3 linked regions of the Alligator mississippiensis genome follow. The protein of the gene in region 1 purifies or fractionates together with the protein of each later gene. This does not show direct contact. Links are inferred from orthologs where the notes say so. Each region holds a gene or a part of one and is shown in the gene's direction. Other genes may lie near its edges.

Evidence for each region.
Region 2: the proteins of PTP4A1 (region 1) and CNNM4 purify together in Homo sapiens (affinity purification with mass spectrometry; 6 studies listed by BioGRID and IntAct, with this or other methods). This does not show direct contact. The link is inferred for Alligator mississippiensis from reciprocal best matches to the Homo sapiens genes PTP4A1 and CNNM4.
Region 3: the proteins of PTP4A1 (region 1) and CNNM1 purify together in Homo sapiens (affinity purification with mass spectrometry; 4 studies listed by BioGRID and IntAct, with this or other methods). This does not show direct contact. The link is inferred for Alligator mississippiensis from reciprocal best matches to the Homo sapiens genes PTP4A1 and CNNM1.

What each region holds. Positions count from the first base shown.
Region 1 is NC_081824.1:54,211,935-54,222,413, forward strand, and holds the start of PTP4A1 (protein tyrosine phosphatase type IVA 1), read left to right. Parts: upstream 1-5,731; 5' UTR 5,732-5,733; coding exon 5,734-5,838; intron 5,839-10,196; coding exon 10,197-10,289; intron 10,290-10,479. Other genes in the region: uncharacterized LOC128125822 homolog, read left to right, coding at 5,288-5,383. UniProt on the Homo sapiens protein: Protein tyrosine phosphatase which stimulates progression from G1 into S phase during mitosis. May play a role in the development and maintenance of differentiating epithelial tissues.
Region 2 is NC_081830.1:10,488,496-10,498,997, reverse strand, and holds the start of CNNM4 (metal transporter CNNM4), read left to right. Parts: upstream 1-6,717; 5' UTR 6,718-6,845; coding exon 6,846-8,100; intron 8,101-10,502. Other genes in the region: LMAN2L (VIP36-like protein), read right to left, coding at 1,170-1,312, 1,459-1,578, 1,846-1,960, 2,051-2,212, 2,674-2,706, 3,537-3,619, 4,641-4,758, 5,067-5,185 and 1 more. UniProt on the Homo sapiens protein: Probable metal transporter. The interaction with the metal ion chaperone COX11 suggests that it may play a role in sensory neuron functions. May play a role in biomineralization and retinal function.
Region 3 is NC_081829.1:100,970,938-100,981,021, forward strand, and holds the start of CNNM1 (metal transporter CNNM1), read left to right. Parts: upstream 1-5,817; coding exon 5,818-7,231; intron 7,232-10,084. UniProt on the Homo sapiens protein: Probable metal transporter.

The sequences.
Region 1 (10,479 bases):
CCCACAAAGCTCTGCTGTCAGCCCATTTTCCATCACATGTAAACACAGTTATCTCCCTGCATGTGAGTCTAGGTCTGGAGTACGCGGGTAGATCCATTTTGCCTTGGACATCTCACAGATGCAGTTTGACTTGAGGGATATATAGCTAAATCATATGAATTCAATTGTATGAATCTATGTAAAGACAAAACTCCTAGTTTACTCCCTTTTCCATGGGAAATGGAAAACCTGGATCCCTGAGCCTAGCGAAAAAGAGGTTGCAGTAAAATTCCATCTCTCTGCATCCAGTTCAAGAATATTGCTCAGGCTTTTGTAATTTGTTGTTTCTCTTGTACTTCAAATAAATCCAGTCCTTTATTTGCATTGCGTCCCTAGATCATCCTTTTCAGTAATAGCAAACTAACTGCTTACTCTCAAAGTCTTTTGTGGCATATTCTCACTTAACTTGTTGGTTATCTGTTAGTATTGAATGGGAAGAGGTAGTTTGCAGAAGGCAGGATAGATGTACACCTTACAGACCAGGGGTGTCCAACCTTTTGAATGTGGGGCCAGATCATGAACTTTTTATCACCCAGTGGGCTGGCGAACCATATTCAAAGACCTCCCAGGAAGCGGTATCACATCTTCCCCCCCCCCCCCCCAAACGAAACTACAGTGTTTACTTTCATTTCCCATCGCAGCACCTCGGGCCTCAGAAAACACCTTGGAGGGCCGCATGTTGGACAAGCCTGTTATAGACTGACTAAATCAGATATTACAAGCTTTCTTAAGTAGCTGCTTACTTCATGAAATGAAGGGACTGCAAGAAGTAGAGCTTCTGAATAGACAGCTGTGATTAGTATACAGAAGGTAGGCAAAAGAAGGGATCACTGTTGGGAGAGGTGGATGGGAGAGAGGAAAAACAAATTAGTTAACCCAGGGACATAGGGGCTAAAGAAATTCAAGTAATGGGATAAGAATCCTGTAGTTTTGATTTAGATTAGGGAAGTCCCTAGTGGCAGCCCATGGGCTGCATATAGATCAGGGGCGGGCAGTTATTTCAGGCGGAGGGCTGCTTACTGGGTTTTAGTAAGATGTTGAAGGCTGCATTTCCCTCTCCAGTCCAGGGAAGCAGGAACAGCCCCACAGTCCCAGGCACCTGCCTCTGCTAGGCAGGGGCTTCTGGTTGGGGGGCTGGGGCTGGGCAGGCCATGCTGCTGGGTCCTGCTGCCAGCTTTCCCGGGGTACTACTGCCCCTGGCTCCTGTCATCTTTGACAGGCAGCCAGGAGCAAATAAATATTAATTTTCTAAAAATTTTAGGGGCCCCGTGGGCCAGATCGAATGGCCTGGTGGGCCAGATCCAGCCCCCAAGCTGTATTTTGCACACTCCTGATATAGATAGACCTCAGAGGATCAGCTTTGGGGACTTAAACTTCTCTGCATGGTTGTCGTTGCTCCCACCCTGCTGCTGTTCCTGCTGCAGCATCTGAGTTCTTTTGGTGATCCCACCTTCATCTTGCTGTTTTCTTACACTGGCTCCTGTAGCAGGAGGGGGCAAGGGTGCTGTTGTTGCATGCATGGTGGGGCCAGCTGCTTCTGCTGCATGTGAGATGGGTCCTTACAGTGGGTGCTCCCCCCCAGCTGCCCAGAAGTTGGACTGCTCTGGTTAGATTATACTTAATACAATCCAGTCTGTGGGTGTCTTGTTGTTGTTCAGTGACTTTTTTTTTTTTCCATTCAAGCTTTTTAAAGTTTTGCTTGAGAATAACTACTCTGAGGTCATAGCTAGAATGTCCAAGGAGGTTAAAATGTTGATGGGGGTCACTTCATTTTTGATCAGACAGAGCTACCAATCTGCAATATACATTTGTTATCTTTCTGAGCAAACTCCTCTAACCTTTATACTTTCTCCTGAGGCTTCTCTGCTAATGGAAATAAAATAGTAGTTTTAGCAAATAAGGGTTTAGTATCTGACTGGCAAATGGATAGTGATACTGACAAAACACTAACTGGTGTTGCACTTGTTCAGTATCCTATTCACAAGAGTGAACCTTCTAATCATGTCAGTTTATGCTTTAGGAAGGTTGGTGAGTCGCTTCAGAAGCAGAGACTGGCGTTCCTGGGAGAAAACACGCATTTTGTGGAAAAGTGGTGTAGATGGAGTGAAACTTCTCCCTGTTATCTCTTCGCATATGCTATAGTCTCAAATCTAAAGAGGGGTGCTAAAAACGGACTTTTTTTTGTTTTACAGTGGTAACACTTAATTTTATTCAGCAGTTGTAATTTATTAAACGTAGCACTTTTCTAGAACTTTTTAGAATCTTAATTCAGTCTTGATTTACTAGAAGAGCATCAGAAAACAATCACTTAGGCTATATTTCTTGAGATTAGTGCAAATTATATTTATTTCATCTCCAATATCTGCAGCATTCCTCTTACTGTTTAAAAGGACCAGCCACATAGTCACAGTGGCCATTGTTGCATCAGGGAAACTGGGTGAAGGCCAAGAAATAAAGCTATGTTCAAGTTGGGTGGAACCTCACATTTTTATATTAACTGTAAATATGTAATTTGAAACTCTTGAGAACCATCCAAGGCAACACTAAAATCCCTGTTTTTACCTCATGCCCAACTGTGTGGAGGTGGATAGACTCCCTGGACTTTGATGCAGACCTCTTCCTATGTCTCCTTGCCAGAGGATGTTTTTAGTCCTTTGCATAGTAGGTGACTAGCATTGCATGCATGTTTACCCACTTCCCTGATCATAGTTCCCTATAAGTAGAACAGGGACTTCAGAATGTTACAGTGTTCATTTTGAGCATAAAATGGCTCCTTGTAGCATGAGGTATCACAATAAATCAAGTTTATAATGATTTCTTTAATGATTATTCTTATCGCTCAAGTATCTGTATCTGCATGTAAATGCTTAGAATTTCCTCAAAGCAACTTGTGATAGACTTACCAGCAATGCCTATACAGTGCAGTACCTTCATTTTTGCAACATAAAGCAGATCTAGTAAGCAGGAATAATGTTTTTATTTTATATGGGTCAGGTGGCTTAAGTAAAAAAAAAACCAAACCCCCCCCCCCCCCAAAAACCTGAATAATTACAAAATGGGGAATCAACAAAACAATTTAAATGGGAACTAGAATATTAACGTAAGCCAGAGTATCTCCTAAGCAGTAGACCTGTTGCATATTTTCACTACTAAACAATCAATATGCTTTAAAATAAGAAGGCTTTTTATTAAAAATAACTTGGCAGTAAAGAATGTGTGGGTGGCTAGACTAATAATATTTGTTAGAGCCAGGCATGTGGTGTGCAAGATTCCCCACAATGCTGACAGTGTACATCTATTATAGTGTGTGAAATTCTTGTTTCAGTTTTAGGTCTCTCCTGAGCAGATGAATTTAGTTAACTCTGTTCACGTCTTTGAAGTAGAAATAATTGATTCTACTTTTTAAATTAAGAGGTTAGAGTAAATTAGATTAAAGAGGCATTTTTTCCTTTTAGCAATTTATTCCATTTCTTGAAGACATTGCTACCAGTTAATGTTTTTAGTATACTTGAATTCCAAATACCCATTCAGAACAGGATGGACTTAGAGCGGTTAGGAAAACACCCTCTGAGCATGAAATGATCCTTGTATGGAAAACAAGTGTCATAGTATCTGTGCTTAGAGGGCAAGGCAGAGGTGTGTGAATTCTACTTAGAGAATGAAAGTTGTGTTTAAAACATGCTGCAGATATTGGAGATGAAATAAATATAATTTGCACTAATTTCAAGAAATATAGCCTAAGTGATTGTTTTCTGATGCTCTTCTAGTAAATTGAGACTGAATTAAGATTCTAAAAAGTTCTAGAAAAGTGCTACATTTAAAAAAATTACAATTGCTGAATAAAAGTTCTGTTAGAAATATTTTGGTCTTGCAACTCTTAAAATATTGTACAGGTACTCCTCACTTAACGACCGAGTTCCGTTCCTGCGACTCGGTCGTTAAGCGAATTGGTTGATAAGCGAGGAGCCGGGCTGCGAGCGCGGGAGCTGTCCGCCCAGCGGTGCTGAACCTGCGGTGCGCCGTTTCCACAATACAGGTACTCCTCACTTAACAACCTCCTGCTTGGAGTACTGACTGCTCGGAGAGCTGGTCGTAAGTCTACGCGGTCGTTAAATAGGTAGGTCGTTAAGTGAGGAGTACCTGTATTGCTAAAACAAAAATAGCATTTCTGAGTAAAAGTAAGCACTGATACCTGGAAATAAAATACTAAAGTCTGAATAGGCAGAAAACAAAATTCTAATATGATACCTTAAATTGGTGGTCTCCCACCTTTTTAAGGTGAAGATCACTTTGAAGTAAAGGACAATCTAGGATTTACCATGCCCTCACCCCCCCACTGCCCAGTAGGTCAGTCTGGGGGGTGGAAGCAGATCGAGGCCCCCATGGCTAGGGGTGAGTGGGACCCTGGCCAGACCAGGAGAGGGTCAGAGCCTGGGTGGCTCAGCTGGGGCGGGCGGGGGGAGGCTGCCACTGTTGGGGTGCGTGCAGTGGCGGGAGCTTCCCTGCATGCCTGGACAAGCCACCTGGGCTCCAACCCACCCCTGGCCCAGCCAGGGTCCCACTCACCCAGTGGTAGGAGATGCAGTGGGGGGTATTTTCCCAGTTGCCCGGCCCTGGTGGCAGGGGGCACAGCTCAGCCCAGCCACGTGCATCCTACCGCTCCTGCGTCCCAGCCATTCCCGATTGCAGAGCCTCTGACAGTTGATCTCAGTCTGAGGGGGCTTTGACTGTCAGGGGCTGACTGGTTGGTGACCACTGCCTGAAATTATATTAGATTTGTAAACATACATAAGGGGTGTATAAGTACATAAAGGGTGTGCATCAGGACCTGGGAGAATGTCTGTTCACCTGAGCGCCCCAAGGAAAAACAAGGACCAACAGTCTCAAACTCCTCCAAGACTGTTTTAGACTGGACATAAGAAAAAAAATTCTTTACTATCTGAGCCCCCAAGACCTGGAATAGACTCCCTCCAGAAGTGGTGCAAGCACCTACTCTGGACTCATTCAAGAAATGCTTGGATGCTTACCTTGCTGGGATCCTTTGGCCCTAGCTGACTTCCTGCCCCTGCGGCAGGGGGCTGGACTTGATGATCTTTGAGGTCCCTTCCAGCCCTAAAGTCTATGAAATCTACGCTGTATGCATTTTCGTTTTACTTTTTAGTAAGCGTTAATATTTTGAGCTAAGTTGTACATATACTTGGGAACAGTAGCTGAAGTAACTTTTTTTTTTTCTCTCCCTTCTTTACAGCAGTTCTGTGGTGTTCTTGGTCACACATTTATGGAGTTTCTGAAGGGCAGTGGAGACTACTGCCAGGCACAGCACGACCTCTATGCAGACAAGTGAACTGTAGAAATTCATTACTACTCCACCAAGAAGCCCCCCTAAGAGTGATTAACCAGGATAAGAAGTGTTGAATTGAAATTGGCAGCGCATTTTACAAAGGAGTTCAGACCTGGATGGGGTAAACCTCAGTGCACTGCCTTTCTTTTGCCTCAGTATTACTGGATTGAAGAATTGCTGCTTCTTGTTAGGACGTTCATTTCATTTCCCATTGCTCCCAACTTCATACTTCCAAGCACTGAGAATTTCAAGTGGAGTATAGTGAAGTAGACTTCAGTTTCTCTACATCATTTCTGTATTAGAATTTTTTAATCCTTTCATAATCTTGTTGCATGTTTTTTAACTAAATTAATATGGCCCGAATGAACCGCCCAGCTCCTGTGGAAATCACCTACAAGAACATGAGATTCCTTATCACACACAATCCAACCAATGCAACCTTAAACAAATTTATCGAGGTAAGGTCTGGACGAAATGCTTTTTTTTTTTTTTTAATTTTATTTAATACAATGCTTTTAAAACCTAGAACAGTATGTGTTTTAATAATATATTTACTAATGGGATTCAGTTCTTAAGTGCTCTTCCTGTTGACTCAGGATTTGGGTCATAGTGATTCTCGCAAGCAGTGAGACATGTTTTACAGAATTACTGTACTCATGAAAATCATTCCTCTATCAAATTGCATCAGTATATTTATTTTTTAATGAACCATAAGCATGATCATAACGGTACTATTACTGATCAACAGGTACAGGGCAGAAAGAGAATATGTAATCTAATTAAAACAACAGAACATTGACAGGATCACAGTTAACTTGCATTTATTAGGTTTTGTTAATTAATGATCGCTCAATTCTTTAGTTCTGTCATGTCTTCAGCAGCTGATTTTTACTACCGTTAATCCATAAAGATGGGGAGAGGAAAGGGCAATATATTAAGACTATCTGGTACTAATTAGATGTGACTGCAAGTATTTATTAGGTATGCAGAAGTTGTCTAAATAAAGCTAGTTTGGCCATCAGCTGTAGCAGTGGAGCTACAGTAGTTTTAGAATTCATGTGACATACACAGACGTATCTGGGACTCCAACTACGTTCATGCTGGCTGAAATCTGGCTTGGCACAAGTTCACATTTGGTACTGGAGCCATTTTAAGCCAAAATTAACTTTGAGGCGTCTAAATCTGTTGCAGTAGCATTTTTGAATAGCCTTGTAAACATGGCCTGAGATCTACTTTTGACATTTGGGTTTCCCATAGAAGCTTTCCTTTGTGCTCTTGTAGAGGAAACAAGAAAACATCCCAAAGAATCACTACACAGCAGTGGTTCCCAACCTTTTTAGACCATGGAGGGCAAGTGACTGTGGACTAGCAAACTGAAGTGACCGGCATACTGCGGAACAGCAGCCAACCCTTTTTTATTCTCAGTATAAATAAACAAAAGGTTGGCTGCCCATCTGCAGTATGCCGGTCACTTCTGGACTTCCAGTCCAGCAGCCAAACCTTTGTGGCCCGGTACCAGGCTATGGCCAGGGGTTAGAAACTTTTACTACACACCATACAGTGTGTGTCACTCGTGCCTTGCTTCAAAAGACTAATAATAATTACTATGGATTGAGTCAGACTTGTGTAGTAGGTTTTAGATATGCAAATAAGGCAATCTTACTGCAGTGTGGTAGAGTGATTGTTTAAACTAGCCAGCTTGAGTGCTGGTAGCAGTCTAGTCATGGTAGCACATAGTGTGCTGAAGCAGAGTAAATCTAGCTTGCGATGTATTTTGTGCTGCCTCAGCTGAACTGGTGTTACTCAGGCTTGGTATAGGCCAAGAGTCAGCATCGTCTTGCTGTCACAAGCCACTGCTTGCAACCCAGCTCCTGCCACAGGCTGCAAATCTCTACAACTCTGTCTGGTAATTAGTGGATGCTTAGGACAGAATGAGGCAGCCAGTAGGACTGTGGGGACACCTCTGCTTCCCTAGCTGCAGAATGCTGCCAATTCCCTGAGTTGCCACAAGCAGTAGGTTGCTAACCCCTGATGTAGACAGTCTTGTTTTGATCCTTTGCACAGGATGCTTTTGGCTGAAGAATATAAATCCCAGATCCCAAGAGTTCCTATTCATGTATTCTAATAGAGAGAGAAAGAGAGTGCCATCCTGCCTAGCTTGTGCCATAATAAGTAGATAAAGCTCTTATGCTCTTGCCTCACAAAATCATAAGAACAAGTTCTGAATAAAAATAAAGACACCCTTTACCAATTAAAGGGTTGGATGAGTCTCTGGATTGGGCTCACAGACCTGCCTCCCACATGCCAGGTCCAATGCATGTGGCACTCGCTCTTGGCTGGTCCAGTACTATGCTGTGCATAGGGACAGAATAGGCCATGGAACAGATCCTGAGTCCCGGGCTTTATGCACTGGAATGAGCTGGGGAATGTCACATGATGTGAGTTAACTCAAAAGATGCAGGGACAGCATGGTCCAAATGTGACCTGTATGCCTTATCTTTGACACCCCTCAATTAAAGCTAAGACATCCCTTCGTCTTCCGTTCCAGACACTGACTATTATGGGGGGCTAGTTAGGATTTTTCTTGAGTTTCATTTTTGTAGTGAGTGGTGCTCAAGATCCCTGTCCTGATAAGAGCCTAAATGTTAAGCTTGCCTTATTTGCAGAACACAAATATAAGACGTGACCAGCAGTAAACTGGGCAATTATACCATGTTATATAATTGCACAGGCTAGTAATGTATGCAGCTTGTCTGTTCCAAAATGCTTTAGGGTATTTTTAAAAGTAAAAATACTTACAGAATCATAATGGCAGTGATGCATTACATCTCTATTTCCATTACACTTCCAGGGGAAAAAATGTGATTTAGCATAGCTCCTAACGTGCCACACGGAATAAATAAACACAACAATGTTAAGATCCTTGTAGTAATTTGGAAGTATTCAGTGAAAAATCCTGCTAACTTGATGATCAAGTAAACTATTTTGGCAGGAGGCTCTTTGAAAGGTACAAAAAAGTAGATGACCATTTTCTTTTGCTAAAATACAGTTTGTTGTGCTCTTTTTAGAGTCATGCTTAAAGGTCCCTATCAACATTATGCCAAATGCTGATAGTTTACCTCTTGGGGATTGAGCCCCAAAATCTTTGTGCTTCCCGGGCCTCCGCTGGGGTGCATGCATCAGCAGGAGCCCTCCCCATGTGTTTGGACAAGCTACCCAGGCTTTGATCCTCCCCTGGACCAGCCAGGGCCTCATTCACCCTGTGGCAGGGGACATGGTGCGTATAGGTGGAGGAAAGGGGTGGCTAACAGGGCTTAGCTCCCATTCCTCCAGTGCAGGGTAGCAGTAGGGCTGCAAGGCAGCCCGGCTGCAGGATTCTAGTGGCTGCAGCAAGAGTAGGGAGGGGTGGCATTCGCAGCAGTGAAAGAGGGAATGAGGCAGGGGGAAGGCCCTGCACAACTGGGGCACACGCAGGACAGAGCCACAAGCGGCTTGTCCAGGGGGCTCAGGGAGGGGAGGCATGCAGCCTGGCAAGGCATGGGGGGCGTATGCCCCCAGATCTACACACGGGGCAAAGCGGGCTGGACCCAGGGCAGTGCCAGGCTCTTCCTGGTACAGCTCTTCAGTTGCACAGCTCTTGAGCCGGGCAGTGGCAGCGCTGGGAGCAGGGCTGCAGGCACCTGAAAATTTGCTGTAGCCCCCCACCGCCTGCTCCCAGTGCTGCAACTGCCAGCACCGCTGCCACCCAGCCCAAGCGCCGCACAACCAATGAATCATGCTGGGAAGAGCCTGGCTTGGCCCGGGCCCACGTGCAAATCTGGGGTCATGTGCCCCCTGTGGCCTCCATACAAGCTGTTCGTGGCTCCATCCTGCACCTGCCCTGCCTATGCAGGGCTTGTCCCTGCTCATTCCCTCACTCACCGCTGTGGTGGAGGGCAGATTGAGGGAGAGAGCAGGGCACAAGTAGGAGCGGGGGCTGGGGAAGTGGGGGTCAAGCGGAGGCCAGAGGGACAATGTGCCTTCCAGGCCTCCACTTGCCCTACCACTGGGCCCAGCCAGACCCACTCCACCCAGCCCCTACTTCTGCCTGTTCCCTGCTCCCTCCCTCACTGCTGGGCCCTCAGTCTGCCCCCACCACCCCCAGTCCTTTTCACCCACAGACTTACCTGTTGGGTGGGGTGAGTCCCCAAATAATTTTTTTCCCCTCTGCTTCAATCTGCCCCCTCCATCTCTGCCCACAGACTGACCTTGAGGGGTGGGGTGGTGTAGGATAGATCTTGGGTTGCTTTTTAATTCAAAAAGTGATCTACCCAAAGAAGTTGGAGACCACTGTACTACAGGATAAGCTTATTAGCTGCTAAAATGACAATACATTGATTTTTACTGTTTGTCTAAAATTTGTTCTTTGAAGGCTGACTGAGAGAAGTGCAGATTCCTGTGAATAGGTCATCTTTAGGGGTACTTCTTGGTCTGTAACTTAAATCTGGTCATTGAAAGAATTTGCAGCACTAGCAGTGTACTTGGACTTCAGCAGTGCCAGGAAGAGAGCACTAATTTGAAGAAACTTTTTTAGAGGTGAAATATTGAAGGCTTTTGATGTTATTTCGGTGTATGCTTGAAATCAGCATAGCAGCTGCATTCATAAAAACATTGCTTACTAGTTGGAAGACTGTTGTCTGGGTTGGAGGGAACCTTACTGAAACTTTGAAACCTATTAGTAAGCTAAAGTGTAGGAAGTACTTAGGTGTGTCCTGCTGGGAAAGCCAAATGGTAAAAGTCAGGGGAATGTAGAAAAAAATGTCTTTTTCCTCCTCAGGAACTTAAGAAGTATGGAGTTACCACAGTGGTGAGAGTATGTGAAGCCACTTATGACACAGCTCCAGTGGAAAAAGAAGGCATTCAAGTTTTGGTGAGTGATCTGAAAAATTTGCTTGGAAGTTCTTTATAGCATTATGTAGCATTTAGTAGCTCATAATGTCTTTGGTAAGGTCTCAATTTGTCTGAATTTCTAATGCATTTGTCCTAGATGTTTCTAAATGAATGTTATTTTGGAGAAAAAATGGAACCTAAGCAATTGAAATATCACTTTCCAGTTCTTT
Region 2 (10,502 bases), on another chromosome or scaffold:
TGGGTGCTACAGCTATGCTTCCCTGCAGCGCTACCTGGCCATGAAGCTCATCAACCCCTTCCAGAGCACCCACTCCTTCGGCAGCCTCAAACCAGTGCTGGGGAGCAGTGGCCAGCACTGATGTCCTTGTAGTGGCGGCAGTGCCTCCTGTCCCTTGCCATGCTCAGCCCTGGCTGATGGGAGCCTAGAACTGCCTTCGGGATTGTTGCAGCAGCCACCCAAGCCTCTATAAAGGCCCAACGTGGACACTGTATGTCATGTGTGTTGGTATCCTGGAGCCAGGGTAACTTGTTTCCGGACATTTAGGGAATGCCAGGCGGGAGGTGGGACTGACGTGGCAAGTCTCCACCTGTCACCTCCATGGGCAAGAGATGTGGAGGTGGGTGCTGCATCCGTGAGACATGGGACTGGGCCTGGCACAACAGCCCCAAACCTGCTGGATTAACCTAACCCTAGTGTCCTTGCCCACTGGGAGCTAGGGTCTGGCGGTGTTTCCGTCACCCACATGGTGAGCATGGGCGCTTAACAAAGCCAGACTGAGGCAGGTGAGTGGGGCACTGGTTGGTTTACTCCCAAGCCCCCCCAGAGGCCAGATGCCAGGAGGGCTGCACTATTGCCCTGCTGTGTCATTCCCCCGCCACCACCTCATAAAGGCTATGAACAGTGGAGGCCACATGGATGTACGTGGGGGCAGCTCCCCACCCTCACCCTGATAGCAGGCCCTTCTCCAGCAGCTGGGGCCATGATGAGAGTCTCCATCCATTCAGACTCTGACCCTCCAGGCCTTGAGGTAGCATCACCCGTTGTTCCCCTCGGCACTCTGACTGAGGCAGGAGCTGCTGAGCCAGGCTTTGGGGGCAGCTTGAGGCTCTGGCAGCAGTGCCCAAAGGCGGGAGGCCAAGGCAGCTCCCCCAGACAGCAGCATATCGGTCCCAGTAGTTCACAGAGCTGGGCCTGGCACCCAGGGTGGTGGGGTGGTCTTGGTGCGACTGTGAGGGCCCTGGCCATGTCCTAGACCTAGGGCTAAAGTTCGAGGCACTGATGGCAGGCGCTCAGGGACAGGGGAAGCAGCAGCTCCAGGCACAAGGCAGAGACCCAGGAGCATTGGGATTCTGGTGCAGGGGCTAGAGGTGCGCTGGCAGCACTTAAGCCCCTATGCCAGCCACAGCTCAGTAGAAGTGCTTGCGGCTCTGCTCCTGCCACTTGTTGTAGACTATGATGCCAATGACAACAGCAAAGACAGCGGCCACCAGGGAGAAGAAGACGATGAGGAAGAGGGCCAGGCCGCTCATGGGCTCCAGTGGCACGTCCACTGCAAGAGGCAGGTGATGGCATGAGCCTGCCGCCGCGCCCCCCCCCCCAATCCTTGAGAGCCCATGCCAGCCCTGCAGAGAGGCTTGGCTGGGCCCTAAGCCCCTGGTGCTGGGCACATGGCTGCAGCCTCCTTCCCTCACTCACAGCCAGGGAGCTTCATGTTGTCCACGACAGGCAGGAAGACCTCACGGTCCCACTTCTCCTCTTCGGGCGTGCGCTCCACTGTGAGCTGGTAGAGCTTCAGTGAAATAATGTCGTGGTTATCTGTGGGCACAGGAGGGCATGTGGGCACTGTACCAAGCTGTAGGCAGGCCCCCAGGCACAGGGAAGCCATGTGTGAGGGACCCAGGCACCCAAGGGGCTCTTGCAGGCCGACTCCACCTTGCTCTGGTGGAAACATCTTGGGCTCCAGTAAGCACCAGGTGCCACGGCATTGCGTAACAGCCTGCTGGGCTGCTAGGAAGGGGGGCCTTTGATCCCAGAGCACCTCATCCCTGTGGAGCCTGGCACTGGGGACAGGGGATCCGATACCTGAGAGGTCCCCGGTGACAGAGGAGGTGCCGAAATAGTAGCCTCGTGGCAAGCGCACACCCGGTACGTCAACACAGTCTCGCCACTCGTGCTTTCCGTCGATGTCTATCATGACCTGGAGGACAAATGGAAAAACCAGCTCTCAGGTTGGGTCATGCCACGCATCCCACCTTAGACTGCTGCTGCCCCCCCGCCCCATGCTCACTGTGAGGCGTCGCTTGACGTAGCGGATGACAAGGAAGGTGTCATGGTCCAGGTTGCGCACCATGGCGGTGCAGCCACCCAGCTCTGTGGGGCGTCCATCGTGGTCGTGGTCATAGCTCAGGGACCCATTATTCACCATGGCAGAGATGTAGGGGAACACACGCTGCAGTGGGAGGAGAGGAGACCTGAGCAATCACTCGCACTTCACTGCTAGTTGCAGGGAGCAGGGCTTCTGGGCACAGCTCTGAGCTGAGGCAGCTAGGCTGGAAGCTGTGGCTATCATGGCTGTAGCCTCCCACCAGCTAAACAGAACCCCCCAGGAGATGCCCCTCAGCTCTGTTTATGGCCACCTGCCCCAGATGCATGCTGCTGAGAGCCCCCATAGCACACTTGGCCTGGTGTGAGATCTGGGGAAGCCTGGCTGCAGGGATATGCAGGCCATGGCAGCCTCTAGGTCTGTACATCACCAGCCATGGGCTGCAGTCTCTCCCCTCCACCAGATGGCCAAGGGAAGGTGCTGCAAACTCCCCCCTCCAACCACGAAAATCAGGGAAGCCACAGTCGCATGCAGGAGAGGCTGAGCACTGGTATAGCCCTGGCAGCTGCCCCCCCGTGAGTGGGTACCTGATTTCCAGGGGTATAGCGCCTCTTCTGAGCCTGAGTCCCCAGGGGGAGTGCAAAGCAAAAGAGGTACAGAAGCGAGACAGTCACAAATCTCAGACCCTCCAAGAGAGGCCATCTCAGGAAATGCAGAGCCAAGGAAAGCTGCCCTAGCCCCAAGACCCTGGCCACGCTTCCTTGGGGGTCCCTTCCAGTCTGTGGAGCCAGGCAGGAACCTGAAAGGCTGGATCAGACTCAGGCTGGGCTAGGAGAAGGGTTCCCAGTTCTCCAGAGTTGCTGATCTGTGCGCTGAGGTCAGAGGCAGCCAGACCCCAGGTCACAGAGAGACAAGGGATCCTGCCACACACTCCTGGACAAGGGCCTTCCTGGAACCAAGTGATACCTTTGTTTGGGGCAAAAAGCAGCCAGAAAGATGCCCCTTAGCTCATGGATTCCCTTCCCTACTGATGCCCCAGAGAGATCCAGACTAGAGGACAGGCCCATGCTAGAGCAGAGCTCAGCGCATGATGGGATTCAGAGGCCCAGGAGGAGATCCGAGGTGCTGGCACAGGCAGTGGGAGTCCAGGATGTGCCTCCAGAGTTGAGGGCTCTGTACTGCAAAGCGGGCTCTACCACTTCCCTCTTCCCAGCCTGGCAGTATCCCCTGCCCTCAAGGGGTCAGCACTCACTCTCTCTTCTCCCCCAGCTGGCAGCCATGTCTATGTCTGTTGCTCTTGCTCTGAACATAGAAGGGGCCATAGATGGCCACCACGCATGGACAAAGCATCAGAGGAGGCAATGGGAGAGAGAAACTCAGGAGAGAGGCAGAGGGCCCCACAGGTGCCAAAAGCCATAAGCCAGCCAGGTGGCCTCCCAGTGCCCCTCACCTCCTGCTGCTTCTCCTCATTGGGATATGTGTCCACAAACACGCCCAGCCCCAGGAAGTTATCCTTGCTCCCGAAGACGGGTCCTGCACGAGGGGGGAGGGAGAGAGAGATTGTCAGCCATCTGCCACCCTATGTCGTTCTGGACAGGGCCCTGAAGTCACACCCCGAGGGTAAACCAAGTCACGAGCCCCATCAGGAGCCACAACCCAGTTCATCCACCTGACACGCAGAGAAGCCTCCACTCGGCAGTGGTAGCATTCAAAGGCCAGTCAGACCACGTGGCTGAGGTCAGTGACCCAACCTGTACTGCTTAAGAGAGAAGCTGTACCCTGGAGGCACATAACCCCACCAACTCCTGTCAGTGCTCTGAGCATCCAGAGCACAGAGTAGCCACAGGGGGTCCAAAGCTGCAGAGTCGAGGGAAGCAGTGGACTCTCCATCACTGGAGAGATTCAAGGAGAAGTCAGACAGCTGCTGGGCTGGGATGATCTAGGCATGGCAATGCCTGTGTTCTGCTATGGGGCTTCTGGGCTTTGCTGGTTGTCCTCCCTGCCCCACGTAGCAGCAGACAGGGCGGGTTTAAACCTTCCCCAGAGGTACTGGGTGCTGGCTGCAGCCCAGGCTGGGAATGGGGACTGGGCTGTGGCAATGCTCCTGCTGGGACTCAACCCTGGGGGTTCCTGGCTGGAGAGTCTTGCTGTCTGCTCAGGCTCAGACTAATGCTGCATTGGGGTCTCCCCTGCTCAGACTGGTACAGACTGGGAGGGCTTTGCCTTCCTCTGTAGCGGGGGCATGGCTTCTGCCTGGGATCATTTATCATCTGTTAACCACCTTTTACAAGACGGTGGCTGCCCTGGTCCCCCTGTTTTCCCTGCAGCAGGGTCAGGACCGATGTCTGGTGTGGCACCAGGGCTGATGATTATTTTGCGGAGAGTTTAGATGATGGACATGTCTGGGAAGGTTTGGACGGGGCTGCCTCAGGCAGGGGGTTGGCCCAGCTGTGACCTCTGCCGGTCCCTTCCCGCCCCACTTTTCTTGTGAGTCTACAATTGTCTCCCCATGTTTCGCCACCACCTTCCTCAAAGCCACTCCCTGGGCTAGCACCTGTCTGCATGCGGTCCTTGGTGTACCAGAGGGCGAACCCATCGCCGTTGAGGTTCTTCTTGCCCTGGCCATGGATCTTGAAGTGGACCTGCATCTCCCAGTCCCGCAGGTAGCAGGGCTGTGAAGTGGAGAGCATAGGCATGGTCAGGGGCATGTGGATACCACAGGCCCAATGCTCCCTGGCTCCAAGGCAGGTCCCTTGGGCATCACGGCCATGCAGCCAGCACCTTTACACCCCAGTGTCTGGTTTCCTCACAAAGCAATTATCCCCCAGCGAAGCTCATTAGGAGCAGGGAGTCCATTAGATCAAGGAAACAAAGGGAAAGTGAAGGGGGGGGGGGTCCTATTCCTCCCTGCTCTGCATACCGGCCCGAGTCCAGGCTAGAGCTGACAGCCAGCCCCTTCATCCCGCGCTGCAGCACTCACCACGCGGTTCCAGACGGCGCCCTGCCGGCTCTGCTGGTCAGGCGTCAGGCGGATGAACTGGGTCATGACCATGGCGTTGCCCAGCAGGTCCCAGAGCGCGGAGCTGGATGAGCCCACGCCTGGGGGCAGGGAGGGAAGCATCTGCACCCACTGTGGCCTGGGGGGCAGTGCCTGGCTTCCCCCAGCACTGCGGGCTCAGCCCCCACCCTGTGACCATCTAGCTGCCCCCCAAGTGCCCTCAGCTCCGCCCCTGGGAAACAAAGGCCCGCCCCCACACCCTCAGTTCTCGCTTGGGGGCCGCAAGCCCCGCCCCTTTACCCTCAGTTCCAACCTGGGATCCCCTAAGCTCCACCCCGTCATCTCAAGCCCCGCCCCCAAGCCCCCCGTTCTCCCTGGGGGGGGTCCTAAGCCCCGCCCCGCCCCCACCCTGGTATGGCTTGGTGAGCGAGTGCTCGCGCTTGAAGTGCTCCTCGGTCTGCTCGGCCCGCGCCAGCACCAGCGTCGCCAGTAGCAGCGGCAGGGCAGGGGCTGGGGCCAGGCGCAGCCCCACACACCGCAGCCGGCCCTCCGCCGCCATCTTGCCCGCGGCCCCGCCCCGCGCGCTCATTGGTCGCCGGGGCGCCCGGCCTCCGCCGTCATTGCCCCTCAGCCGCGGGACTCCGCCCCCCCACCAGAGCGGTGCACGGCCATTGGCGGGGGGCCCGCCATCCCCACGCTAGGAGGGGAGGGGCGCTGCCGCGGGGCATGCCGGGGAATGGAGTGCGGATAGGCACTTCCTGTCTCGGCCGGCCCGTCTTAAAGAGCTCGAGTCCCCTCCCCCCCCTCGGGAGCCGGCGGCGGGTGGCGACAGAGAAACAGTTGCCGGGCAACCCTGATGTGAGGGGGTGGTTGCCTAACAACGGACGGCGTGGTGATGGTTGCCGAGTGACCCCCCCACCTGCCTTTTGCCATTGGAGAGGGCGGCTTAGGTTTGACATGGCAGGTTGCCGGTGACCCTGGTGTCAGTTGCTGAGCAGCGGTAGGGTCGCAGTTGCTAGGCGACCCCTGGTCCTGGTGGCATGGTGACGGGTGCCGTGGTGTCAGGGCTGTGGTCGCCTGGCGACGGGAGTAGCGGGCTGGTGGGGATGCCCGGGTGATGGTGGCTTTGCGTTGACGTGGTAACAGTTGCCAGGTAACCCCGGTGATGGCTGCTTAGCCACGCCATGGTACTGGTTGCTGGGCAACCCGCTCCCCACCCCCCCACCCCCTCTCCGGGGTACCGGGCAGGGGGTGCTGCCTGTGACAGCAGGGTTGAGGCGGGGGCAATGGCCCAGCGCCGCCACGGCTCCTCGGGGCCGCCTGCTCTGTTGCCACGGCAACACCATTCCGGGTACGGCACCGGTACAGCGGGGCGGCCCGGCCGCTCCTTCCCCCCCGGCCCCGGCCCCGGCCCCGGCCCCCTGCCGCGGATCGATCCGCCGCCTCCAAACAACAGCGCCTCCGGCCGCGACTCAGCTCCGCCCCCCGCATCAGGGCTGCCGCCCCGGCGGCTCTTCCCGCCCCTTTCTCGGCGGCGGCCCTGAGGGGGCGGGGCGGGGCCGGGCCGGGGGGGCGGGGCCGGGCCGGGCGGGCAGTTGGCGGCGGCGGAAGATGGCGCCGGGCGCGCCGCGGCGGGGGTCGCGGGGGCGGGCGCGGGGCGCCGCGCTGGGGCTGGCGCTGGGGCTGCTGGCGCTGGCGCTGCTGGGCCGGGCGGCGGGCGCGGCGGGGCTGGGCGCCGCGGGGCCGCCGCGCGTGGTGGGCATGCGGCTGGAGCCGGAGGCGCAGGCCCCGGGCCTGGCGGCGGGCGTGCAGGTGGGCGAGGGCAGCCACGTGGCGCTGCGCCTCTTCGGCCTGGGGCTGCCCGCGCACACCTGGGAGCTGGTGGCCTTCGCCGAGGCGCCGGGCAGCGCCAACGCCTCGGGGGCCGCCAACGCCACGTGCGCCGCACCCTCGCCCGACGTGGAGGTGGAGCGGGGCACCTGGGATGCGGGCGAGGCCTCGGCCGTGCTGCGCCTGCGGGTGCGGGCGCTGCGCAAGCGGGAGCGGGCCAAGGCCTACGTGCTGTGCACGCGGGCCGCACCTGGGCAGCCGTGGCAGCGCCATGCGGGCGCCGAGGGCCGCCTGGTGGTGGTGGAGGAGAAGCGGTCTCTGCTGCCCACGTGGCTGCAGGCAGCGCTGCTGGCGGCACTGCTGGCACTGTCGGGCATGTTCAGTGGGCTCAACCTGGGCCTGATGGCGCTGGACCCCATGGAGCTGCGCATCGTGCAGAACTGCGGCACAGAGACAGAGCGCCGCCACGCCCGCCGCATCGAGCCCATCCGCCGCCACGGCAACTACCTGCTGTGCTCGCTGCTTCTGGGCAACGTGCTGGTCAACACCACCCTCACCATCCTGCTGGAGGACCTCATCGGCTCCGGGCTGGGCGCTGTGGCTGCCTCCACCGTGGGCATCGTCATCTTCGGCGAGATAGTGCCGCAGGCCCTGTGCTCGCGGCACGGCCTGGCCGTGGGTGCCAACACTGTCGTCCTCACCAAGTTCTTCATGCTGCTCACCTTCCCACTCTCCTACCCCATCAGCAAAGTGCTGGACTGCTTGCTGGGCCAGGAGATCGGCACCGTCTACAACCGGGAGAAGCTGGTGGAGATGCTGAAGGTGACAGAGCCCTACAACGACCTGGTGAAAGAGGAGCTGAACATGATCCAGGGGGCCCTGGAGCTGCGCACCAAGACGGTGGAGGACGTCATGACGCCACTGCATGACTGCTTCATGATCCCCGCTGAGGCTGTGCTGGACTTCAACACCATGTCAGAGATCATGGAGAGTGGCTACACCCGCATCCCCGTCTACGAGGATGAGCGCTCCAACATTGTGGACATCCTCTATGTCAAGGACCTGGCCTTCGTGGACCCTGACGACAGCACACCGCTCAAGACCATCGCCAAGTTCTACAACCACCCCGTGCACTTCGTCTTCCACGACACCAAGCTCGACGCCATGCTGGAGGAGTTCAAGAAGGGTAAGGGTGCCACACCGTGCCAGGGCAGGCAGGCGGGCAGGCAGAGGGTTTGTGGGGGGGGGGGTGTCCTGGCCTGGGGTCACTGGGGTCAGGCCTGGTCTGGGTTACCAGCGTCTGGTCTGGCCTGAGCTTAAGCTGACTGTGGCCCAGCCTGGGGTAACTGGTGTTGCTGGAATCGGATAACTAGGGCAGGCCTGTTCTGAGCTACCCTGGGCCTGGCCTGGTCTACGATAAAGCGCATCTGTCTGGACTAGTCTGGCCGGGCCTGGGGTAACTGGACTCTGGCCAGCCGGGGATTGTCCTCCCTCTAGATGCCTGGCAACTCCTGGGCAGGCCCCAACTCCCTGCTGGGGCTCTAATGAGGCAGGGACCTGGTACCTGCCCAGGGCCGGGGCAGCTCTGGCTCCGGCTCCTTAGACCCCCGAGTGTCTCTGCTGGGTGCACCTGTCGATTCCTGGGCTGGGAGGGGGGAATCTCCCTGGGCAAGGTCTACCCCACTCCGGCCCATCCTTCGGCTCCAGCCAGGCCTGGGTCCAGCCCCCTGAGGGTCCATGCCTCAGCCTCTCCTGCATGCCCTAGCACACCCGAAAGTGAAAGTGCAGCGAGGAGAGATAGGACTGACTTCCCTCACCCCGGAAGTAAAAGGAGCTAGAGGGGGTGGGGGGCAGGGAGCTGTTAGGGGGTTAATTTTGGGGGGGGCTGACAACACAACTGATTTTCCCCCCTAACCAGACAGTTGCTGTGCTTTGATCTGAGCCTGGGGTGGGCACCCTGTGGGCTGTGGGGTGGGAGCAGGTTCTTAGCCCAAACTTGCTGGGGGTCAGTGATGCCCCAGCCTGTGCAGGCTACATGATGTGGCGTGGCCCTGGCCTAACCCAATCCCTGGACTGACACCCCCCCCACCCCTCCCCAAGGAAGCCATGGGTGCCAGCCATGCCCAGATTTCAGGGTTCTCTCCCCAGGGTGTTTCCCTGCTGGTTGGGGTCAGGTTGAGGCTGGCTTGTTTCAGGGATATGCTGTTCTACTGGCTCAGGTCTACACTTGCCCACTCCAGGCAACATGCTTGTGAGAGCAGCCAGGTCCAAAGGTCCTGGCAGGCACCTGGGAGCACCACCCCTCAGGCCCCCCCCCCCCCATGGTGCGGGCACAGCCGGGCAGCAGCCTCCACCCCAGAGCAGCTGGGGGATGTCCCTTTCTGGCCTCAGTTTCCCTCTTCCCAACTGCAAGGACCAGAGCATACCTGGCTGTGGGGGGCACAAAAAGGGGAGGGGGTGGCAGCTGGCGTGGTTCTGCCCATGGTGAGCTCACTTGCTATGAATAGCCCCACAGTTAGTGTGACTTAAGCTGTAATTATGGGCGTCTGGGTGGCTAGGGGGGTGTGGGGGGGGCATCCGCCCCAGCCTGGCAGGGCTCCCATAGCAGTTTGGAACAGGAAGTAGAGCAGAGGGGCTTGATGGGTTCCTTAGTGCCTATGGGGGTGGAGGCAGGGGGCTTTGCCTTGCCTTGCAGAGGGGGCAGTCAGTGCAATGCCCTGCAAGACCCCCAGTTAAGGGTCCCCATCAGCCAGAGGAGGAAGCCTGGGGGTGGCTGCAGCCTGGCTGGCCCTGACCCGCACAGGGAGGAGACCTGGGAGAATCAAGGCTGATCTCCTCCTGGTGGGGTCATCTACCAGCTCCACCTGGGGGCACCAGCTGGCCTGGGGAGGGGGGTCTTCACTGCTCCTCCCCTCTGGCCAGCTCACCCCACATGTGACCCTGCATCTGCTGTCTACATGAGGATTTTCTCTGGTCCAGGCCTAATCCCAGTTTAGAGGCCTGGCTGCCAGCCATTTTTGCTGGGATTACTGCCCCCCCCCTCCCGCCCCTCCCCTTCCCCCCCAGCTGGGTTGGTTGTGGGCACAGGTGCCTTGGGGATCTGGGGGGGCATTGGACAACCTTGAGCTCCCAGCTGGTGCTAGACCCCCCCCAGCCTCTGTGCCAGTTGTGGCAGCTCATGCACCCCAGAAGCGGGTTGCATGGTGGCAGCCAGAGGTGTGGCAGCTGGGCAGATGGGTGAGGGGCCCATGGAGTTTTGGGTAGGGGCCCAGACTCCTGGGTTCTGCAGTTCTGGCCCCAGGGGTGTGGGAGGATGGGGAGGCTCTAGAAGCTGAGTTGCCTTGGTTGCTAATGAGGTGATTGCCCTGAACCCGCTTATTAGAGGGCCTGAGGTTTGGGGAGGGGGGGGTGAGAGAGAGTGGTGGGGAGAGTGCAGGTAAGCACTGTATGTGTGTGTGCTTTGTTTGTGCATGGGTGAGCACATGCCCTGTGTGTACACACACTGTGTGTGTGTGTGTGTGTGTGTGTGTGTGTGTGTGTGTGTGCGTGCGCACACGCACGCCTTCTGCATGCATGCACGGGTGTGTG
Region 3 (10,084 bases), on another chromosome or scaffold:
CTCTCAGCCTGGACACTGCAATTTATGGCATTTCTCCCAAGCGCTGAGCAGAGTCAGCAAAGAGCTCTGAACATCTCGTTCCCTTGGGACTGCCTTTTGATGACCGCCTAAGCGTGCTGTTAGGTAGCTTGTTACAACGGTATGCAGCTGACTTGGTTTTCTGACTTCCACCCTACATGTCAAGACTGTATTGTATGTCGGTGTCTGGGGACAAGAATCAATAGGTTTGGGGTTAGATGATATAGTTGCACAAATGCCCACACCTAATCTACACTAGATTATAGGTAGGTAGTTATAGTAGTTTGTAGCCAAGGGGCAGACAGGGTAGGTTATACCAATCATTTCAGCAGCAAAACCAAAATAGCAAGAAAACAGGGAAAAAGTCTCATTTTAGCCAAGACCTTAAAGACATGTCGCTAAGAAAGGCTGTGAAGAGTTAGTAAAAAACTTAGCACCTCCCTTCCTGATCGCCACCTGGCTTCAGCTTACACCCCCAAACTGATCAACACCTTCTCATGAGAAGGGTAAAGAGGAGGGTTTCTACAGGTATGTCAGCAACAAGAGGAGGATGGGGCAGTGCGGGTCCCCTCCTGACTGGGGAGGGGGCAACCTAGTGACAGAGGAGGCAGAAAAGGCTGAAGTGCTCAAGGCCTTTTTCACCTCGGTCTTCACAGGCCAGGGCAGCTCCCAGCCGACCGCGCCGGGCAGCGCAGCGCAGCGCAGCGTGGAGGGGGGAGCAGCCCGCAGCGGTGAGAGATCAGGTTAGGGACTGCTTGGGAAAGCTGGACGTGCGCAAGTCCATGGGGCCGGACGGGAAGCACACAAGGGTGCTGAGGGAGTTGACTGATGAGACTGCAGAGCCGCTGGCCATCGTCTTTGAAAACGCATGGTGGGTGGGAGAAGTCTTGGACCATTGGAAAAGAGCAAATATAGTGTCTGTCTGTAAGAAAGGGAAGGAGGAAGATCCAGGGAACTACAGCCTCACCTCAGTCCTTGGAAAAAATCATGGAGCAGGTCCTCAGGGAATCCATTTCTGAACACCTGGAGGAGAGGGTCTCAAGTTGTAGCCAGGGAGGTTTAGGTTGGATATTAGAAAAAATGCTCTCACTAGGAGGGTGGAGCAGCACTGGAATGGGTTACCTAGAGTGGTGGAGTCTGTGGCAGAAATGCCACCATTGGTGCCCCTCTCCAGAGACCTGTCTCAGCCAGCCTGGGAGGCTGGTGTTTCATTCCTCAGGGTGGGGATCTCCCACCTGGTCTACATGACAAAAGCCTGGCGCCTGGGAGGCGATGCTCTGGTCACCTGGGCAGGGGGGAAAGGCCCGGCCCTGCGCGGGCCCAGGTAGCCAGGGATGCTGGGGAGATTGGTCGGCTTGTGGCCAGTATTGGCAGCTTCGACTGGACCGGGCTGCGGAGGTCAGAGAGGTTATTTAAGGGCTTGGTCCAAGAAGAAGGGAGTCAGCCATTAGCCATGCGGTCATCCAGGTGAATCTGAGCCTGGCTCTCTCCTCATCACCGCATGCTCCAAGAGTGCCCTGCCTTCAGAGGATACAACAACCACCTCTGGACGATGAGAGTGAGTAAGCTACTCAAGATCCGATTAGATATTTAGTTTCAGTAACTCAGATGCGTTTAAACGGCTACCTCAGCCACCCTGGTTTGCTCAATGGGATTCCTTTGATATTCCTGTAAGATTTCTATGATATTGCTCTACCTTTTACCCTGTTTCCGCCCTACCCCCTGTCATCAATAAAGTTCTCCTTTGTGACCGGTGTGGGAGACTGATTGAGGGGTGGGTCTAAATTATGCCAAGGAGGCCCCTTAGGTCGGTGGACTAAGGGAGACTTTCCTAATAAGCCCCTGACTTGGGGAAGTGCCCCAAGTGCTTGTATTGGGTCTAGGACCCATTGGACGATCAGGCCTGCGTTCTCCAAGGCGCGCAGAGCCAGAAGTGAGTCCGGAGCCTTGGATGGTGGCAGCGGGACCCCAGGCTAGCAGGTGTGCTCCAGGGAAGGGGTCGGCCGGACGGGAGGCACCCCAGGGAGGCACTCGGAGCCTGGACGGTGGTCGGGCGCGGGGAGGTGGGCGGCTCAACGCAGGAGCGCCCTTTACTGGCCCGCCACAGAGTCGCCATCCTTGACTGGATATTGTTCAGATGCTGAGTGGGTATTGGGTGGATATTCAGATAAACTGTCTCACGATGAGGGCAGTAAAGCACTGGCACAAGTTACCCAGAGAGGTGGTGGACTCTCCATCCTTGGAGACCCAGGTAGACAAAGCCTTGCTGGGATGGTGTAGTTGGGGTTGGTCCTGCTTGGAGTAGGGGCCTGGACTGGATGTGACCTCCTGGGGTCCCTTCAACCCTCCTTGTCTGTGATTCTAAGGTGATTTGGAGCAGTCAGCATGGACTCACCAGGGGCAAGTCATGCCTGACCAACCTGATTGTCTTCTATGACAAGATGATTGGCTCTGTGGATGCGGGGAGACCAGTGGACAGGATATCCCTTGACTTTAGCAAGGCTTTTGATACCGTCTCCCACATTCTCGCAAACAAGCTAATGAAGTACAGGTTGGATGAATGGACTGTATGGGTTCAGAGGGTAGTAAGCAATGGCTTGATGTCTAGCTGGCATCAAGTGCAGTGCCCTGGGGTCAGCCCTGGGGTTGGTTTTGTTCAATGTCTTCATCAACGACCTAGACAATGGGATGAGTTCATCCTCAGCAAGTCTGCAGATGACACCAAGCTGGGGGATGTAGTAGATATGCTGGAGGGTAGGGCTAACATTCAGAGTGGCTGAGACACACTGGAGGACTGGCCAAAAGAAATCTCAGGAGGTTCAACAAGGACGAGTGCAAAGTCCTGCACTGAGGAGGGAGCGATCCCCTGCACCGGTGCAGGCTGGGGCGACGGGCTGGGCAGCAGCTCTGCAGAAAAGGGCCTGGGGGGACAGGGGACAAGAAGCTGAACAGGAGCCAGCAGTGCGCCCTTGGTGCCAGGAAGGCGACTGGCATCCTGGGCTGCATGGGCAGGAGCAGGGCTAGCAGATGAAGGGCAGTGATTGATTATTGTCCTCTATTCAGCACTGGGGAGGCCACATCTGGAGTCCTGTGTCCAGCTGTGGGCCCCACTATGGAAAGGATGTGGACACGTTGGCGAGAGTCCAGCGGAGGGCAACGACAATGGTTGTGGGCTGGGGGACGGGACTGGTGAGGAGAGGCTGAGGGACCTGGGCTTGTTTAGTTTAGAGAAAAGGAGACGGAGGGGGATTGAATAGCTGCCTTCACCTCCCTGCAGGGGGGCTGCAAAGGGGATGGAGCTGGGCTGGTCTTAGATGACAGGACAAGGAGCAATGGGCACAAGTTGCAGCAAGGGAAGTTGAGGGTGGATATTAGGGAAAAACCCTCCCACCAGAAGGGTAGTAAGGGACTGCAACAGGTTACTGAGAGAGGCTGTGGACTCTCCATCCTTGGTGGTGTTTCAGACCTGGGTAGACAAAGCCTTGACTGGGATGATGTAGCTGGGGCTGGTCCTGCTTGGAGCAGGGGGCTGGGCTAGACGTGACCTCCTGAGGTCCCTTCAACCCTCATTTTCTGTGATTCTCAAAACGACCCTGTCTCCCCAGGGCCCAGCTGAGATGCAGTGATGTGCTTCAGCTGCCAAGAGCTGCATTGGTCTCCTAAAGTCACTGAAAGACCATGTCATTTAATAAAATGACCCCCTTCCCCCATAGGAAGAAAAGTCGGAGAAAGGAGATGAGCCAGGTCTCCGAGCCCTGAGGAGACACTGGCAGACAAGGCACACTACACAGGTGAGGGCCCCCGCTGACAACACTCCTCTGTTCATGCCAAGCACCGTTACCAGCAGCTCCTCTGCTAACCTCAACCGCACGCTGCGGGGAGACACGCACTTTCGCACCAAAACTTGAAGGACGCAGTGTTTTAAAGATCATAGCTGCTGCTTTGAAGTGCACCTGGAATGAACCAGGAAGCCCCGGCTGCCTTGAGAGGATGGGAGCAATATGCTCCCTGCAGTTCATGCCCCCAAGCAGGGAGCCCCGGTCTGCACCAGCTGTCATTTCCAAATGGGATGAAAGGGCAGCTCCAGAGACAGCTCACTGCTCCACTACAACCAAAGCCAGGCATGAACAGCACTTGCAGTCTCTGTAGCAGGGAAAGGCTGTCCCAAGGGCGTATCTCCACCAATTCTTCTAAACTACCAGCCTGATAAGAAAGAGACCACCCAGCCATTTCTACTGCCAGCCTCACCCCGTACACCTGTGATGGGCATGCCGGGAAGTCCCAGATCACTCAGCCTCATCTGATGCAAGATTCACCCCGCTTGTTCTCATCTGTATTTTCTCTCAGCCAGGCATTGGGGAAACTAAGGCAATGCGCAGTCCAAGGCTGAAAGAAGGACAGAACTTGAGTTATCTGAATGCTGTAGGTATAAACTGGCAAGCTGTATCCCCCACCACCATGTGCTTCACATCCTCCTGAGCAGGAGCAATGGAGTGGAAGCTGGGTTTCTCAGAAACAGCATCACAGAGATAAACACAAAAATAATTGTGGAGTCACAGAGAGGTGGGACCTGCGAGGGTCACGTCTAGTCCAACCTCTGCCTGAGGCAGGGGCACCCCCGTCCAAACCAGCCCAGACAAACCCCATGTCCAACCTCAGAGCCACACGACACAGCCTCAGGCATCACTCACGCTGACCCCGGCCCTGCCACAGGGAAAGCAGTGGGGACACGGTGGCCAAGTGTCCTGCTACTGCAGGGAGTGTCAAAATATGCTTGAGAGATCCCAAGAAGAGGTCATGCCCCCAGCTACAGAGGAAAGCAACCCCCCCCAGAGTCCACGCCAATCTGACCACGGGGTAAAATTCCTTCCTGACCCCAGAGATGGTCACTGATCCGACCATGAGCGCAGCGGCAAGACCCTCCAGCCAGGACCCTGCGGGGTTGGTGCCAGCAGGAGCACTGGCACAGCCCAGCCCCAGCCAGGGCTGCAAGAGAAGGCCTAAAAACCCCTGACAAGTAACAGCAGGAGGGGAAAAAATTCCCTCCCGGCCCCAGGTAGCCACCAGCAAAGCCCCACAGGACAGCATAGCTACGCCTAGATCATCCCCGAGCAGAACCTGCTCAGCCCCGTCCTGAGCAGCTGCAGTGATGGGCAGAGCCCACCCCTTTCCTGGGGACGCTGCTCTAACCGCCACGTTTTCCCATATCCAGTCTACTCTACACCCAGTGTGCAGCAGACTCAAATCCTCGCCCTGCTGTCCCGCTGCCACCCCACCTCCATGGGGCAGCAGGGCCCAGACACAGAGGCCGGCCCCAAGGGTCAGGCCAGTTGCAGCTACAGCACAGAGGCAGGGAGCGGGGAGCTAAGGCGACCTGTGCCACTCCGCCAGCCTGGAAAGGGACAGCGCTGCCGGCCGACCCGCAGGCCTGCGCCCCAACGCTGTGGGTCAGAAGCAGAAGTCTCTTGCTCTCACCCACCCTCCCCAGGAGCTCCTGCTGTTGCCTCTGGTCTAATTGGGGGGGTGCCCGCTCTGACAAGGCTCCATCAAAGCCCCAAGGGAGGCGCTGAGGCGGCTCTGGCCAACTCTGGCTTCAATGAAAGCAGAGGAAGGAGGCAAGCCCTGTCCCCGCATCCGTGCAGCTGCGGGCAGGAGCAGCGAGCCGGCAGGCGCGGAGGTGAGGGCGCCCGGGCGCGGCTCTCACCTGCTGCAGCCGCCCGCCCCGCGCGCCTCCCCCCGCACACGTGGGGCGGGCGGGCCTGCGTGCCGCAGTGTCACGCGGCGGGAGGGCGGTGCGGGATGGCGGGCTGGGGCCGGGGCCGCGGCGCGGTGCTGCTGCTGCTGCTGTCGCCGCCGGCCGGCGCCGCCTGGCTGCTGGGGCTGCGGCCCGAGGACACGGCGCCGGGCCGCGTGTCGCTGCGGGGCGGCGCGGTGCAGGCGGCCGAGGGCTCGCGCTTCGTGCTGCGCCTCTACTTCCAGCCGCGCAACGCCAGCCTGGAGCCGGAGCCGCGCCTCGTCTTCGTGGAGGAGCCGGCGGCGCCCACGGGCGCGGCGCGCTGCGGCCCGCACGGCGCCCGCGCCCGCGCCTCCGACGTGGAGGTGCTGGGCCCGCTGCGGCCCGGCGGCGCGGCCGGCTCGGCGCTGGCCGACGTGCGCGTGCGGGAGCCGCGCAAGGGCAAGGCGGCGGGGCCGGCCGGGCGCCTCTTCTCGCTGTGCGCCTGGGACGGGCGCGCCTGGCGGCACCACGGCGCCGGCGGGTTCCTGCTGCGCGTGCGGGCGCGGGGCGCGGCGCGGGGCTGGCGGGTGCCGCTGCCGGCGGGCGGCTGGCTGGTGGCGCTGGTGGCGCTGGCGCTGCTGGCGCTGTCGGCGCTCTTCGGCGGGCTGCGCCTGGCGCTGCTGGCGCTCGACCCGCTGGAGCTGCGCGTGCTGCGCAACAGCGGCTCGGCGGCGGAGCGCGAGCAGGCGCGGCGCGTGCAGGCGGTGCGCGGCCGCGGCGGCACGGACCTGCTGTGCACGCTGCTGCTGGGCCAGGCGGGCGCCAACGCGGCGCTGGCGGGCTGGCTGTGCGCCGCGCTGCCGGGGGACGCGGGGGGCGCGGGGGGCGCCGGCGTGCCCTGGCTGCCCGTGCTGCTCTGCACCGCCGCCGTGGTGCTGGGCGGCGAGGTGCTGCCCTACTCCGTGTGCTCGCGCCACGGGCTGGCGGTGGCGGCCCGCACGCTCTGCCTCACGCGCCTGCTGCTGGCGGCGGCCGCGCCGCTCTGCTACCCGCTGGGCCGGCTGCTGGACTGGGCGCTGCGCCGCGAGCTCAGCACCTGCTCCACGCGCGAGCGCCTGCTCGAGACGCTGCGCGCCGCCGGGCCGCACGACCTGGTGGGCGAGGAGCTGGCCATGGTGCAGGGCGCGCTGGAGCTGCGCACCAAGGTGGTGCAGGACGTGCTCACGCCGCTGGCCGACTGCTTCATGCTGCGGGCCGACGCCGTGCTGGACTTCGCCACCGTGTCCGAGATCCTGCGCTCGGGCTACACGCGCATCCCCGTCTACGAGGGCGAGCGGCGCGACAACATCGTGGACCTGCTCTTCGTCAAGGACCTGGCCTTCGTGGACCCCGACGACTGCACGCCGCTGCGCACCATCACCCGCTTCTACCACCGCCCGCTGCACTGCGTCTTCAGCGACACCCGCCTGGACACGCTGCTCGAGGAGTTCAAGAAGGGTGAGTCGGGCGCGGGCCCTGGGGAACGGCAGGTGGAGCGGGTGGCCCCAGCAAGGCCCCCCGCTCGTAGTCCCCGGGGGAGCGTGAGGGCTGCGCGTGCATCGTTAACGCCGTCCCCTTGAGCCCCGGGGCAGGGTGGACACTGCATGGCCTTGGGAAGGAGCCGGGGCAGTGGTCTGCAGGGGGCAGGCCCAGCCCTCACCCTGCCTGCATCGCTGTCTCGCTCGGTGGCCTTGGCCCAGTCCCTTGCTCCTGGCTCCCCGGAGCGGAGGCAGCCTCAGCAGTCTGTGCCTGGGGTGGACGCCAGGGCAGCTCACGTGGGGTTGGGACCCGTTTCCCCTCGGGTCGCTTAGGGCCTTTTTGGGGCTGCACTACAGGAGTGTCACGTCCAGGAGCAGGCACGTACCAGGACCGGCCACTGGGCCCCTCTCAAAAATCCAGTTACAGGGGTCCCCAAGCACAGGACGGGGCTTGTGGTGCCAGCTGCTGGGGCCTCGGCCCGCAGGCAGCTCGGTCCTGCTGCCCTTGCTTCCTGGGCAGGTGGGAGCAGGCCGGGGGCTGGCAGCAGTTCAGCTCAGCGTGGCCCAGGGTGCACGTGTGCCGTGCTGTTCCTGCGGAGGTGAGCGAGCAGGGCAGCCAGGGGTGAAGAGTGTGCAAAGCTGCAAAGAATTAGTGTGCAAGTGACTCAGAGAGAGGCTTGGGGAGAGCTGGGCCTTCTGCTGCTGCCGTGGCCTTCTCTGTGCTGGCAGGAGCTGCCTGCTGATTTAGAGGCTGGGCTGCAGCAGAGCTGCTGGGAGAACTGTGCTCCTAAACCCTTGTTCCTCCAAGCCTGGAGCTGTCACCACCGGCTGCACCTCATCCCCCCCCCAAATGGTGCTTGATGCTGTCAGGGAGCTTTTTTCTTCAGAAACGACTACAGCAGCAACACGCTGCATTACGTAACCGTAAGAGATGGGAACCAGCAGCCTCCCTCCGTGCCCCCGTCTTCCCTGCAGTCACGTGAGAAGCTGGTTGGGTCCCTGCTCCCCGCACCCGTTCCCTGCCAGTGCGCAGGGGGAGACGGCTTGCACTCACGCACCGATCTCAACAATGCGCCTGCAGCAATTTGGCATCTTGGCCCCAGACTCTGCAAACCCGAGTCTTGTGCTATGTGGATGCTGCTTGTGCAAAGCATCCAAACCCTCCCTCCTCTGCAGAGCATCCAAACCCTCCCCCTGGCTCAGGGTCCGGTCTCCTGCCGGCAAACCTTAGCCAGATCTAGCTTAAAGCCTGTTTGGGTTTTTGACCCTGCTATTCTCAAGAGCATCAGCAGTGCCAGACTGGGTCAGACCAGTGGTCCATCTAGCCCCGTATCCCATCTGACAGCAGCAAAAATGGTTGCCACATAGGGGAGCAGACCCAGATTAGATCTACAGTGATCTATCCCCCAGTTCAGCACCCTCCCTGGCATCAGTCATCGTTGGCTTAGAGATGCCAGAGGAAACAGCTCCGAGGGTCCGGTTCAATAGCCATTAACAGATCGATCCTCCCCAAGTTTATCCAGGCCTTGCTGAACCTGGCCGTGCTCTCTGGCTCCACCGCTCCTGGGGCAATGAATGTCACGAGTTAATGACGCGTTGCATAAAAAAGTACTTTCTCTTGTTAGTTTTAAGCCTGTCACCTACTCATTGCAGCAGATGCCGCCTTGTTCTAGCACTGTGGGACTCGGTGAATGACAGGTTGCTGTTCACTCGTTCGCACCCTTCATGATTTTACAGACCTCTACTCCTTTCCAAACTGAAGAGCCCCAGCCTCTCCTGGTACAGCGGCTGCTCCAGGCCCCTGCTCCTTTTGGCTGCCCTTTCCATTTCCAACATCACCACTCTAATGGTTAGACACTTTCTTCTGGTTTCCAGCCCATTTATATTCATTTGCTCTTGGGCTAACACTGTCCTTCAGCTTAAATCATTCTTCTCCCTCCCGGCTGGTTACCCCTCCCTGTATTTGTAGGCAGCAGATTGAAACCATAGGGTTACAACTTACAATAGCCGGGGAAATCCTGGCTTGCTTTTCCCCTTCCCTTCCTTCGTAAGACAGGCCAGAGGAAAGGACAGCCTAGCTAGTCGCACTTCTCAGCGCCTGCTTGGGTTTGAATGAGTTGTTTTGGGAAGACGGGTGTACGCAGCTTCCTGCTTAAATCAGTGCCTTGGGAAATGGCGTTACGGCCTTCCCCTTCTCTCCTGGGAGTTCTTGCCCAACTCGGAGAGCTGCCTTTGCCTCTTCCAGACCACGTCATGCTGGCGGGTCAGTCATCCTGCGACCCTCTAGTCTCTCCTCTCAGTTGCATCTCATCCAGGGGCTCCTAGCTCAGAGCAAACGTTCGTACCAGGCCCCAAGGGCTCAATGTTGCATTTGTACAATTAGGTTTCTACCCACTTCTTTTACTCCAGGCCTCAAGATCGTGCCTTTCTTCCTGCGCAAGACACTGCTCCTCCTCCATATTGTCTCAATGTTGGGAGGCATCATCGTCGGCAGTTTTCATTAGCACATTCCAGCTTCTTGTTCCCGAGTCTCACAATATTAAAGTGAGCCCCTAGACTGGTCCTTAAGGGGTGTCACTACTAACTTTCACCTCGTGTGCCTAGTTGAAGGGTAAGCAGTCTCCCTTTTAACCAGGGCCTTGCCTGCTGCAGCTCCTCCTCGTCCATGTAAAATTAATAAGCTTCCTGCATGCAGCGCATCAAGCATGACTCAAGTCCAGGCAGCAAGTCTGCTGCATTTCCTTTGTCTAGAAAATCAGTTTCTTTATGGAAGAACTACACCTGGCTCATTTGGCACGGCCCGTTTGGCAGGCGCCTGTTGTCCTTTAGCCAC